Linked DNA regions of Canis lupus familiaris. The protein of the gene in region 3 purifies or fractionates together with the protein of the main gene of each other region. This does not show direct contact. Links are inferred from orthologs where the notes say so. Each region holds a gene or a part of one and is shown on either strand. Other genes may lie near its edges. The genes, in order: MTMR2, MTMR1 and SBF1.

What was found.
Region 1: the proteins of SBF1 (region 3) and MTMR2 purify together in Homo sapiens (affinity purification with mass spectrometry; 6 studies listed by BioGRID and IntAct, with this or other methods). This does not show direct contact. The link is inferred for Canis lupus familiaris from reciprocal best matches to the Homo sapiens genes SBF1 and MTMR2.
Region 2: the proteins of SBF1 (region 3) and MTMR1 purify together in Homo sapiens (affinity purification with mass spectrometry; 4 studies listed by BioGRID and IntAct, with this or other methods). This does not show direct contact. The link is inferred for Canis lupus familiaris from reciprocal best matches to the Homo sapiens genes SBF1 and MTMR1.

What each region holds. Positions count from the first base shown.
Region 1 is NC_049242.1:5,272,212-5,276,324, forward strand, and holds the start of MTMR2 (myotubularin-related protein 2), read left to right. Parts: upstream 1-1,310; 5' UTR 1,311-1,477; coding exon 1,478-1,557; intron 1,558-4,113. UniProt on the Homo sapiens protein: Lipid phosphatase that specifically dephosphorylates the D-3 position of phosphatidylinositol 3-phosphate and phosphatidylinositol 3,5-bisphosphate, generating phosphatidylinositol and phosphatidylinositol 5-phosphate.
Region 2 is NC_049260.1:120,303,708-120,306,574, reverse strand, and holds the end of MTMR1 (myotubularin-related protein 1), read right to left. Parts: intron 1,494-2,867; coding exon 1,332-1,493; 3' UTR 627-1,331; downstream 1-626. UniProt on the Homo sapiens protein: Lipid phosphatase that specifically dephosphorylates the D-3 position of phosphatidylinositol 3-phosphate, generating phosphatidylinositol. Could also dephosphorylate phosphatidylinositol 3,5-bisphosphate to produce phosphatidylinositol 5-phosphate.
Region 3 is NC_049231.1:17,727,017-17,731,144, reverse strand, and holds the start of SBF1 (myotubularin-related protein 5), read right to left. Parts: upstream 2,853-4,128; 5' UTR 2,717-2,852; coding exon 2,662-2,716; intron 1-2,661. UniProt on the Homo sapiens protein: Acts as an adapter for the phosphatase MTMR2 to regulate MTMR2 catalytic activity and subcellular location. Promotes the exchange of GDP to GTP, converting inactive GDP-bound Rab proteins into their active GTP-bound form.

The DNA.
Region 1 (4,113 bases), on a different chromosome or scaffold from region 3:
CCAAACATTTCTGCTTTTCTAGTGCACTTTCTGCAATGCCGGGCTGGTGGGGGAATGAGGAGCATTAATTTTTTTCCTACCCGTCCTATACTTTCTCCACTACCTTTGTCATGCCAGCCACTTCTCAGGTTCCTGTCCCACAGCCGCCATTTTTGAAGCTGTATTACTGTTTATACACCTTAATGCAGCACATCCTAACAACCCTCACAAAGTAGGGAGGACTACTAACAGCTAATATCTGAGTGCTTACTATGTGCCGATAACTGTTTTTCCAACATTTTATTTAAATTCAATTTGCCGACATACAGTGTAACACCCCGTGCTCGTCCCGTCAAGGGCGCGCCTCAGTCCCCCCATTCCTCCACCTCCTCTTCTGCAACTGTTTGCGAGTCAGGAGTCTCTCGTGGTTTGTCCCCCTCTCTGATTTTTCCCACTCGGTTCCCCTCCTTTCCCTTGTAATCCCTCTCACTATTTGTTATATTCCCCCATGAGTGAAACCGTACACTGATTGTCCTCCTCCGACTGACTTACTTCACTCAGCATAATACCCTCCAGGTGCATCCGCGCCGAAGCAGATGGCGGGTGTCCTCCCTCCTGAGGGCTGAGCAGTATTCCACGTACACATGGACCGCATCCTCTTTATCCATGCGTCCGTCGACGGACATCGTGGCTCCTTCCTCAGTTTGGCTATTGTGGACATTGCTGCTGTGAACTTTGGGGACAAATAGTGTTTTAAGCATCTTACATGTATTCACTCACCTAATCTGGGAAGATATGATTTTCCTATTTAACAGATAAGAAAGAGGGTGTTCAATGCCTTGGGTTACGCCGCCAGTGACGGGCACAGGGGGGTTCTGAAATCATGTCTGACCGGCTAAAGGAACTTTTAACCACTATTTAATTAATAATGATTATTTCCAGCCCCAAACCTGGCGACCTTGGCCATCTCCAGTAGCTCACCCCCTCACGTGGCCCTGCGCGCCCTCTCCTGCCGCCCCCGCCCCGCCCCCGCACCCCCCGGGGCCGCCGTCCTCCGGGGTCGCCCCCCCCCCCCCCACGGCCCCCGCCGCCCGCGCCGGGTCACTGCCGCGTGTTTCCCGGCATCCCGGGCCCAGGTACCCGCAGCCCCAGGACCCCTGCCCCTGGTATGCACTTAGTCCTCTCTTTGCCTCCTGCCATCCTCCTCCTCCCAGGGGTCCCCCGACCCTCGGGGCAGCGCGGGGGCGCAGGAGCGCACGCAGCGAGCGCAGGGCGTCGGCCGCAGTCGGCGGCAGCCCCGGGGTCCTCGCGCTCCTCGCGCTCCTCGGCGGCCCCCGGCGCGGTGCAGGCTGGGGGAACATGGCCGCTTCCGGTCTCCCTCCCGGGCCGGCGCTGGCCTGACCGCGGCCCCTGCCCGGCGCACTCCGCCCTCCGCTCCTCCCGCTCCGCTGCCGCGGAGGTCGCTTCAGCCTTTGCGTCCCGCTGTCCCCGCCGCGCCATGGAGAAGAGCTCGAGCTGCGAGAGTCTTGGCTCCCAGCCGGCCGCAGCACGGCCGCCCAGCGTGGACTCTCTGTCCAGGTAACCGGGATGCCCCGGGCCCCGCCCAGCGCCCAGCGCCCAGCGCCCGGAGCCCGAGAGGGATGGAGAGGGGCCTGGACCCGCGGGGGGGCCCCAGCTCCCGACTCTGCTTCCTGATGGCTGCGCCGAAATTCCTCTCCTGGGACCTGGGAGCCACTTCTTCCTCCCCCTCTGGGGTTTGCAGGCTGGGGAGAAGGGAAGGTGAACACTCATTGCTGCTTCACCGGCGCCTCTACCTTTCTTGTAACCATCTTTTTTAAATCCCGGGTGGAGGCAGCCCCAGTTCATTAGTATCTCTTGTTTCTCATTCCCTCTCGAATTATTTTTTTGGACAGCCCTTCCCCCAACCACCACCCCTCCTTTCCTCCCTGCCTTTCTTTACTATACGCTTTTCCAAACCGTTCTCCAGGCTTGCTTCCATCTATTCATATGTCTTCGATTTTGGGATTCTTGCTCACGTTTTTTTTTTTTTTTTTCCCATCACTTTATTTCTCATGATTTTCCATATACTCCTCCCCCTCTCCCCATTTTGCTTTAAAAATGTAAATAAAAATGCCCACTGTACATCGCCTTTCAAAATCTTGCAGCTGAAAATCATTAGGAATCTGAGCAGTCCTTAACCCTGACTGAATAATGAGTGTTAGCTTTCTTCCTTCTGGGGCTACCGGTTTTCCTGGTTATTTCTCTTGTGACCAGATGGGATTTTTTTTTTTTTCCTGGAATTTTGAGGAGGACTTTAGTATGCAATTTTGTAGATAGCTGTTGTGAGTATAAACTAGACATATTTCAGAGAATGTTTTCCCTTTGGTTTTAAAATAGTGAATTAAAATCTAAGGAAAAAATAATAGATGACCTGTGTTTGTTATGTAGCCACAATAAAATAAGCTTCTTTTCTACCAAAAAATAGTCTAATTATTATTAGAGTTATTAGATACTAATCTGTGTGAAAACACAAATTTCATTTTCCTCAGAATAAATAGAAGTTTCTAACTTTTAGTTCATTTTGCACTCTACTAAATATGAGTGACACAGCTGTTTTCCTATTACTGTTCAGACCTTATTGTGAAAATATTAGCTGTTTCCTTCATTATAAATTAGATTCTCTTCCTAATGCACTCCTGGGAACCTGCTCCCACCATTTTCAGAGTTCTCAACAAACAGTGTAATCGTGGATTAATTATTTTCTGCGAGACTGTAATCTACTGGACCACATCTTACTATCTTATCTCCAGCATTTAACAGAGACACCTTTCATGTCAGAGGTTCTCAACAAAATTTTTTTTTGAATCTATACATTTAATTACCCAGGAGAGAAGGATTTTTCTTTGCATTCGATCACATATATTGTACATCTGTTTCAAGTATTTTAAAAATTTTATTACTCTGAAATTTAGGAAATTTAAGTTACATTTTTAGCTTAAAATTATGCAGAACACAGGTTGTAAAATTAGAATTGTATAGGAAAGTTACAAATGGCAGCTATGATTCAGAATAGAATGTAAAGAAAACAAATGAGGCAACCAGTAATCTCACCCAAGCAAGAGGAAGTGGAACCGCAGGAGGCAGCAGAGTCTGTTAGGATGAAGAATGTATTGGAAGTTAGGAGGTTCAGACTCTTAAAAGTCCCTGGCTCTGCTAGTTTTTTGGCCTGTATCATTTAACTTTTCCAGTCTGCAATTTTCACATCTTTCAAAATAAAGAAATTGATCTAGAGAACCTGCAACGCCCCTTGGCGCTCTAAAATTCTGTCATTCTTTATCTTAATGACAGTAATGATTAAGATACATTCTCATCAATTACTAAGATATTCCCTTTATGGAGTTTTTAAATTATACTAAATAACTCTGTTATTACAAATTAACGTACCTAATTGTGCCACTTAAGCATATTTATTCCCTCCCCAAAGAAAGCCCAGTAACTTTAAAGTTTATATATTTTAATTCTTAATTAAAAATTATGTTACTGACATGAATTTAAGAAAATTAACTCCTTGAGATAGTTTTGACTAGAATATTTAGCCTCTTCCTCTCTGGACAAAAATATAAGTATGATCTACTTTCCGTAGGAGAATGCCAGCTTTCATTCCTTTCCTCTGGAAGGCAGAAAAAAATAACATTTGTTGAATGTCTACTATGTAGAATTCACCCTGCTAAATTTTTTCATGTCTTTTAAGAATCATTACACATGTTTGATCAACAGTGTAAAATAGTTGCATTGTAGACACTTGTTAGCTTAAATTTAAACTTAATCTAGGCAAACAATAAATTGTAAGTGAGAAGGCAGAAAACCATGATTATAATAGCTATGCTACCTGGCTATCCAGCTGTTTATGATTTTACTGTGATAGCCTATAATAAAGCAAAATATCAATATTTGGACTGTATTGTCTCAGCCTTCTGCAGAAACATTGCCTTTAAATTGTAGTTTATTTTTATGCCTTCTGTTTTTTTACAACTAGGAAATTTTCAGTGTCAAATTTTCAATTAGGAAATTGCCACGTGAATTTGTTCCGATACAACAATAGCTAATATGTTCAGTGTATTCCATATGTCTTTT
Region 2 (2,867 bases), on a different chromosome or scaffold from region 3:
CAGCCCCAGGTGTTCCCCCAGAAGCTCGGCGTTCTGGCCCTTGCCGGGGTGCCGATGGTGGGGCGGCAGGGCCCGTCCGGGCATGAGCGGACCTGGTGGCGGGCTCGCAGCCGGACCCCGGGGCCGAGTGGGAGGCGGCGGGCGTGGGGTCACCTGCGTGGGGTGGCGCTTCGGCGCCCTGCCGGCCGCTAGTGCAGCAGCACGAGCCCTCCCGCCCAGAGCCGCCCTGGGACTCCCCGGTATCCGCATGGGCAGCCGGGTGCCCGGAGGGGACAGGGGCGCGAGACCCGCGGGGGCTCCCCCAGAGGCCAGCATGCGAGCCGTGGACTCGGGGTGGGGGCCCCGGGGCTTGTCAGCGGTCTGCCCCCTTTGCAGCTCGGGGTCCCGGGGTCCCCGGGCCCGATCGCCCAGCCCTCCCCCACCAGCTTCGGGCAGACGGGCGATCCACGGCTACACGCGCCACATCCCCTTTGGGGCCGAGACGCGCGTGTGGGGTTCAGCGAAGGACTCGAGTCCTACCTCACACGCGTCACCTGGGCGTGGCACGGGAGACCACAGGTGTGGAAGGTGCTGTCATTTTTCCGAGGGAGGAATTGGGAAAACATTAAAAAAAAAAGTAGACGACCCCAGAGCAAACATATTATTTTAATTACAGATGGAAATACAGTGTATCAGATGAGGCGACTACGCGACTGTACCAGTCTTTACACACCTGCACCAGGGGCTTAGGTTCCATACGCTTTAAATAAACAGAAAGCAAGGGGGGTGCTCGGCTAACGGCACGAGGCTTCTAGCTGGGCCGGGTGGGGGCACCCGGGGGAAGGGGGCTCGCACGCGGACGGCCCAACAGACAGCCCGCACGAGGCGATGCGGCCCCGGGAGGAGGACCGCCACCGCCGCTGCCGGCGGGAGGACACCGTGCCAGGTCACTGGCCCTGTTCCTGTCGCGGGCAGACCACGTAAGTCGGCGCGAGCTGGGGGTGGAAAGAACCCGTCACCCGGTCCGGTTACGCACACACCTCCTCGGGTGACTAGTTTCCAACATAAAAAAGGACATAGGAAAATAAAGGCATGTTTCTCTTTTTAAAAAATACCTTCTATGTACATGACAGTAACTGGCGCAGGAGGGCCCCGGGCGGGAAGAGGACGGGACACTCGGGGGCCGTGGCGGGGCCAGGGCGGTGAGTGGGCACGACGGACACGGCCGACGAAACGGAAAGCGCTTGATGACGGCGGGAGCGGTCACCTTGCCACGCAGGCGGTCGCTGGTGGGCAGGATCACCCGGCCCGCGGCCTGCCCGAGGCCCCTCGGGGAGTGGCCCCAGAGCGCGTCACACGGACGTGTGGACGGGGGTGACCGGGTGGGACGGCGAGGAGCCCCGCTCGGAGGACGACGAGGCGCGTGTGGCCACCTCCCGCTGCAAGTCCTCCACCCGCTTCTGCAGCTCCGCCTTCACGGCCAGCAGCTCCTTGAGGTTCTGGTGAATGGGCATCTGGGGAGAGAGGGACACGGTGAGGTCCCCTGCAGCTCTGCCGACTGGCAGCACCGACACTGTTCCCACCCATCGCGAGAGGTGCAGGCGGCCACCCCGGTGATGACCCTGCTGGAGGAGGGCGCCTGGGGGGCCGAGCCCACCCCCCCCCCCGCAAGGCCTCCCCGGGAGCCTGAGGCCCGGAGGGGGCTGCCGTGGGCGTACGGGACTCCCGGCCTGAGGCTGGGTCACAGCATCACCCGTTCTCCCCCGGCCGGCCCAGGCAGCCAGCAGCCAGCTTGTCCCCCACGAGGCTCTCGGACCAGGGTGAGGTGCACCGGGGACGGGGGTCACCACCTGGGAGGCGCTCCTGGCCTTGTGTCCCTGATGCAGTGTGTGCACGGCAGCCGCAGGCCCGGGTCCTGAGCCTCAGCCAGGCTCCCTGGTGCCCAGCCAACAGCCTCCAGGGGCTGCTTTCTGCCGCCCCGACCTTGCCCTCAAAACCCTGGGCTCTGACCCCAGCCTGCCGCTCCTCACCGCTCCTCACCGCTCCCCCAGGGTCCTGCCTCTGCTCCCCTCCTGCATTCCAGAATCTTCTAGGTTTTGAGCCGTTCCATGCATGTGCAGCCCCCTGCCCCCGGGCTCTCCCATCAGGGCTGATCACCCCAGTCCAGGGAGGAGGGAGACGGGTAGGGAGGAGGCAGGCAGATGAAAGCGCAGGGTGCCAGGTCACTAGCGAGGAACCAAGTCCTGACATCAGGCCACAGCAAGAAGGGAAGGGACAACACTGAGGCTGAAGGGAAGGGACAACACTGAGGCTGATGCCAAAGACCCCCCCCAAACAAGGGGACGTTCCCTTATTTGCTGCTGATCCCCAAGGCCACCGCGAAGTAAGCAGTAGCTCCCCTCCTGGCCTTGCGGCCAATTTGGTGTTAATTCTCCTGTTGGGATCGTTTGGTTCCGAGGGAATCACACAAGGGAAACTTCTGGAGTCAGGTCCCGGACACGGGAAGTCCATGGAGGGAGCGCCCAGTGTCACACCCAGGACCTGAGGTGACCCTCAGGGATCTCCGAGCAGCCTTGCCTCAGGTCACTTCCAGTAAATCCAAGGCCCGCTCGGTAGAGAAGTGCCCAGTAGGGAGCCTCCCCCTGTGGGCGGTGGGTCTGCCCCGAGCCAAGAGGGCCCCGAAGGAAACGACGCAGCTCGGTCCCCCCTTCCACCCGGCCAACCCTCTGACGGAGGCCCAGGGAGGCGTGGTGCAGGCAGCCCACAAGCGCCCTCCTCGGACAGAAGGGGCCAAGCAGGCTGGTCCCCTGCCTTTCCTCCCTGTCCCGCCGGCCTGGCTCCCCATCCTGTCGCAGTGACGCCGGCCTAGGTGCCCACTCTGTGCCACC
Region 3 (4,128 bases):
TAGATGTGCACTCAGCCACCTGGTCAAGAGTGTCTCCTGTCCTCAAAGACACACCCCAGCACTGGCCATGCTATGTACATCAGCTGACCATGGTCAGGCCCCCCCAGCCCAGAAGCTGGGCAAGGGTGATCTGTCTGGCCCCCACAGTGTCCCCAGAGCTGGCCCAGGGTGCAGAAGGTGCTAACTCATGTCCTTAGTGAAGGAGCTCCCCCAACTCACCAGGGGAGAGGTCTGCACTGAAAGTTGGGGTCCCATCCCCCCCTCCCTGTGCTCCTGCCTGGAGAGGTTCACCAGATGGTAACTATAAAACCAGATGCTCCCTCAGGCAGGGCTCCTATACCCAGGCCCTGCACCCACCAGCTCCAGACAGGATGTCTAAGTCCAGGCCAAGAACAAGACATCCCCCACTCCTACCCCCTCCACTGAACCCAGAAGACCCCGCATCCCTGTCCTGACGTCCTAGGCCTGCCAGCACACAGGGTCCCCCACCTCCAGCAGCCCTGCCGACTGTGCCAGTGCCTATAGTGTCCTCACACCTGCTGCTCATCACTAAGAGATCCATCATTTCCTGGAGCCTCCTGTGTGAACAGCTTCACATGCGTGTCCACCTCCTGCTCGTGGCAGCCTGGGAGGTCTGTGTGACTCATTCCAACTCCAGATGAAAAAGCTGAGGTGCAGAGAGCTGGAAGACTGGCCCAAGGTCAAGAGCTATCAAGTGGCAAAGCAGGTACCACTGGCTTCCCCCACGTAGTGTTTCTCTGCTTCAGGCTTCCTGCCACCACCTGGCTCTGCCCCCGGCCCTATGGCTAGGGTCCTAGCCTGTGGGCTTCCTTCTTACGGGATGGAGGAGTCCTCCCAACACAGGCCCAGAGGCTGGGTGGCCAGTCGGCAAGTAACCAGCTCCAGCCCTGGAAGGCAGCAGTTAGGGCAGGCTCCATGGCCTTCACCCCTACTAGGTGACAGTCTGGGACTCCTTCTTGATGCTAAGGAAGGCAGCCTTCTCCCCTGTCTGTACCAGAAGCCACAAATACCAGGGGTGCCCACCCTGAGTGTCACAGCCAGCTTGCCACGGAGCCCACCCACGCCGCATCTCACCTCCCTAATTCACTCTCAATCCCCTACTCCTGCTGCTACCACCCGGCCTCTGCCTGTGGTCTCTGCCTTCCCAGACCCTTCCCACACCACTCCTGCATCATCAGCCTCCAAGCCCACTCTGTTCACGCAGCTCCAAACAGGGCCCCTCACACTGGGCGGCCCCTGGGCCAGCCTGGTTTCCCTGGATCCCATGCAACCCTCTGCTCCAGGCGGCATGGCCTCCTCGCTGCCCCCCACATGCACCGTGGGACAAACGGTTCTTCCTCTGTGGGCCTGTACAACAACACCGAGTGTGAGCCTGCCACGTGCAGACTGGGAGGCAAAGATGACTGGCTCTTGCTGCAAAACCTCCCCGTCTGGAGGAAGACACGCTCATGACTGAGGGTGTCAGGGGACGGACCCTTGGACAGACAGGAGCAGAAGAGAGGAGTGAGTCCTACGAGGGCACGCAGGAGGGTCTGGAGTGTGCAGGATCCGGCAGGTAGAGTCTCAGCAAGAAAGGCAAAGAGGAGAGAGAGTCTGGGTCCTGGGTGATGAGTGTGCCAACCGGGCTGACCACACAGGCTCCCCTGAGGGCATGCGCTGCCCCCCTGCCACTGGGATCTGAGCCCACAGCTTGCTGCTGGGTTTGTCTCTGTGGTAGCTCAGGCCAGGCAATCAAGCTCTGTGCTCGACTCCACTTTACCGACGAGGGAGAGAGCAAGGAAACCGTGGTGGGCTGCTGGAGGAAGAAATGAGATCATGCACACAAAGGGCTGTGCAGGGCCTGGCACACGGAGTGCACTCCCCAACCCACCGTCTCCATGACTGCTGCTGATGTCATGGTCAGGCTGTTTGCTCCTACCCCCGGGCTCAAGGGCCCTCAGACACAGGCGCTGACGCGAGAGATGGACCTCCTGGACATCGACTTGACGCAGCGGTCCCCCACCTAGGGCTTGGCCTGCAGGCATGAGGACCGCCGGCGGCCTGCCAGGAACGCTGGTCCCTCTCCTCCCACTTCCTCCTGTCTCGGCTCAAACATCACCTCTAACCGCCCATCTTCTGCATCCCTAAGCCTCCTGGCCTGAGACACCCCACACGGGCCAGGGGCACCGGGGATCAGAGGAGGGCTTGCGAGCCAAGGATCCGTGTCCGGAAGGGCAGCTGGCGGCGGAGCAGAGGGCCCATCCCTCCCCGAGCGAGCCCGAGGCCGAGCCCTCCCGGACCCTCCCGCCCCCCGCCGGGCCCCGCCAATGCTCGGCCAGACCCCGTTCGGGCCCCAGGGTGGCGGGCAGGTCGGGCTCGCCGGGTCGCGCTGCCCCGCTGTCCTCAGAGGTACCCCCCGGCCCCGGGTCTCCGACCCCGACCGCGACCCCCGACCCCTAACCCCGGCCGCGACCCCGGCCCCCGACCCCTGACCCCGACCGCGACCCCGGCCCCGACTGGTGCCCCGGACGACCCTCGCGCCAGCCCAGCGGCCGCGGCCCGCCCGCCCCGCGTGTCCCCGCGCACGCCCGCCGCCCCGGCTGACCCCTGCCCGCCCTGGGGCCCCGGCCCTCCGCCCTCAGCCGCGGGCCCGGCACTCACCGCGCGGGTGCGGCCCGAACGCCACCAGCACGAAGTAGTCCGCGAGCCGCGCCATGGCGAGATGCGCGGGCGGGCTCCGCGGCTCGGGGACGCGAGGGCGGCGCGCTCATGGCCCGGCCCCGGCCCTGGCCCGCGCTCCCCGGACACCCCGGGCCCGCTCCGCCGCGGCGGCCAGAGCTCCCGCCGCCATCTTCCCAGCCAGCCGGCCCGCCCGGCTGCGCCGTGCGCCTGCGCGGCCTCTCCCCGCCCCCGCCATGGGCGGGTCCCGCAGCTACCCGCTCCCATTGGTCCGCTCGGCGCGGGCTCGGTGCCCGGGGGCGGGGCTACGCCCGGCCCCGCCCCCCCGGGCGCTGACAGTGACGGCGGCTCGCGCGGGTCATCGGCTGGCGTGGCGCGGGTGAGAGCGGGCCCGGGGCTCGGCGCTCGGAAGCCCCATCGGGTGGGGTGAAGCCTCAAGCGCACGCCCTCCGCGGAAAGCGGGGGCAAGGCGGGGGCACCGGGCGCGGGATGGAGGAGACGCCCACGCCCCGGGCGCTCGAGCCCCCGCAGCCGGCCGCGGAGCGAATAGCGGGCGGGGGGAGCGGGAGCCGCCGGCCCGGGAGCGCACGGGGTCACACGGGGTCACACCCGAGGCCCCCGAGCTGTGGCGCCCGGGACCGGGGCCAGAGGACACCCCACCCAGCGGGGGTCGGGGAGGCAGCGAGGGCGCTGGGAACTACGCCGGGAGCCCCGGGTCCGGGCACCTCCCTGGGGCTCATTTACCTCCGCTTGCCCAGGTTACAAACTCGCAGAGACAAGGCACTTTGATTTGATTTTTCTTTATTGGAGGGTTGGGTGGTACCATCACCCTTGAGTTTGGGAAAGAGGGCACTGGCGACAGTGTTGAGGCAGGTTGGGGGGAGGGTCCGGCTGCCCCGGGCATCTACCCACCCCTCCCTCGCTGTCCCTCCAGAGCTGGCCTGCGGCCTCCGTCCTCTCCGCAGTGTCTGGTGGCGTCTGTGACGCTCCCACCGTGTCCAGGTCGGCCCTCTCCAGCCCCAGGCCCACGAGACTACAGGGCAGCCTGATACCTCTGCCAGGAAGACCGCAGGCGCCCAAACCCACCCTCGCTAGGGGCTCCCGCATCGGCCACCAGGAGAGCTGACCTCGTCGCCCGCCCCCAGGGTCACTCAGGCTCTGTCCCCCCAGGCCGCCCCTCCTGCCCCGTGGCACCTTTCTACCGTGAATGTCACGGCTTCGCGCTCCCTCCTCCCCAAGCTGGAAAAAATAAATCAATGACTAGAACCCGGGAGGGCTGCTGCTGCCTCACTGCCCACCTCCGGACATGAACCAGGCTACTCCACGGGCCGGCGCTCAACACTTGTCGACTTACTCACCCCGTGAGTGTTTGTTGAGCTCCCATGGTGTGTGCAGCCGGAGGAACAGAGAGCGGGCAGGTCCCCCGTGCTGACAGGGCCGCAAGGTGGC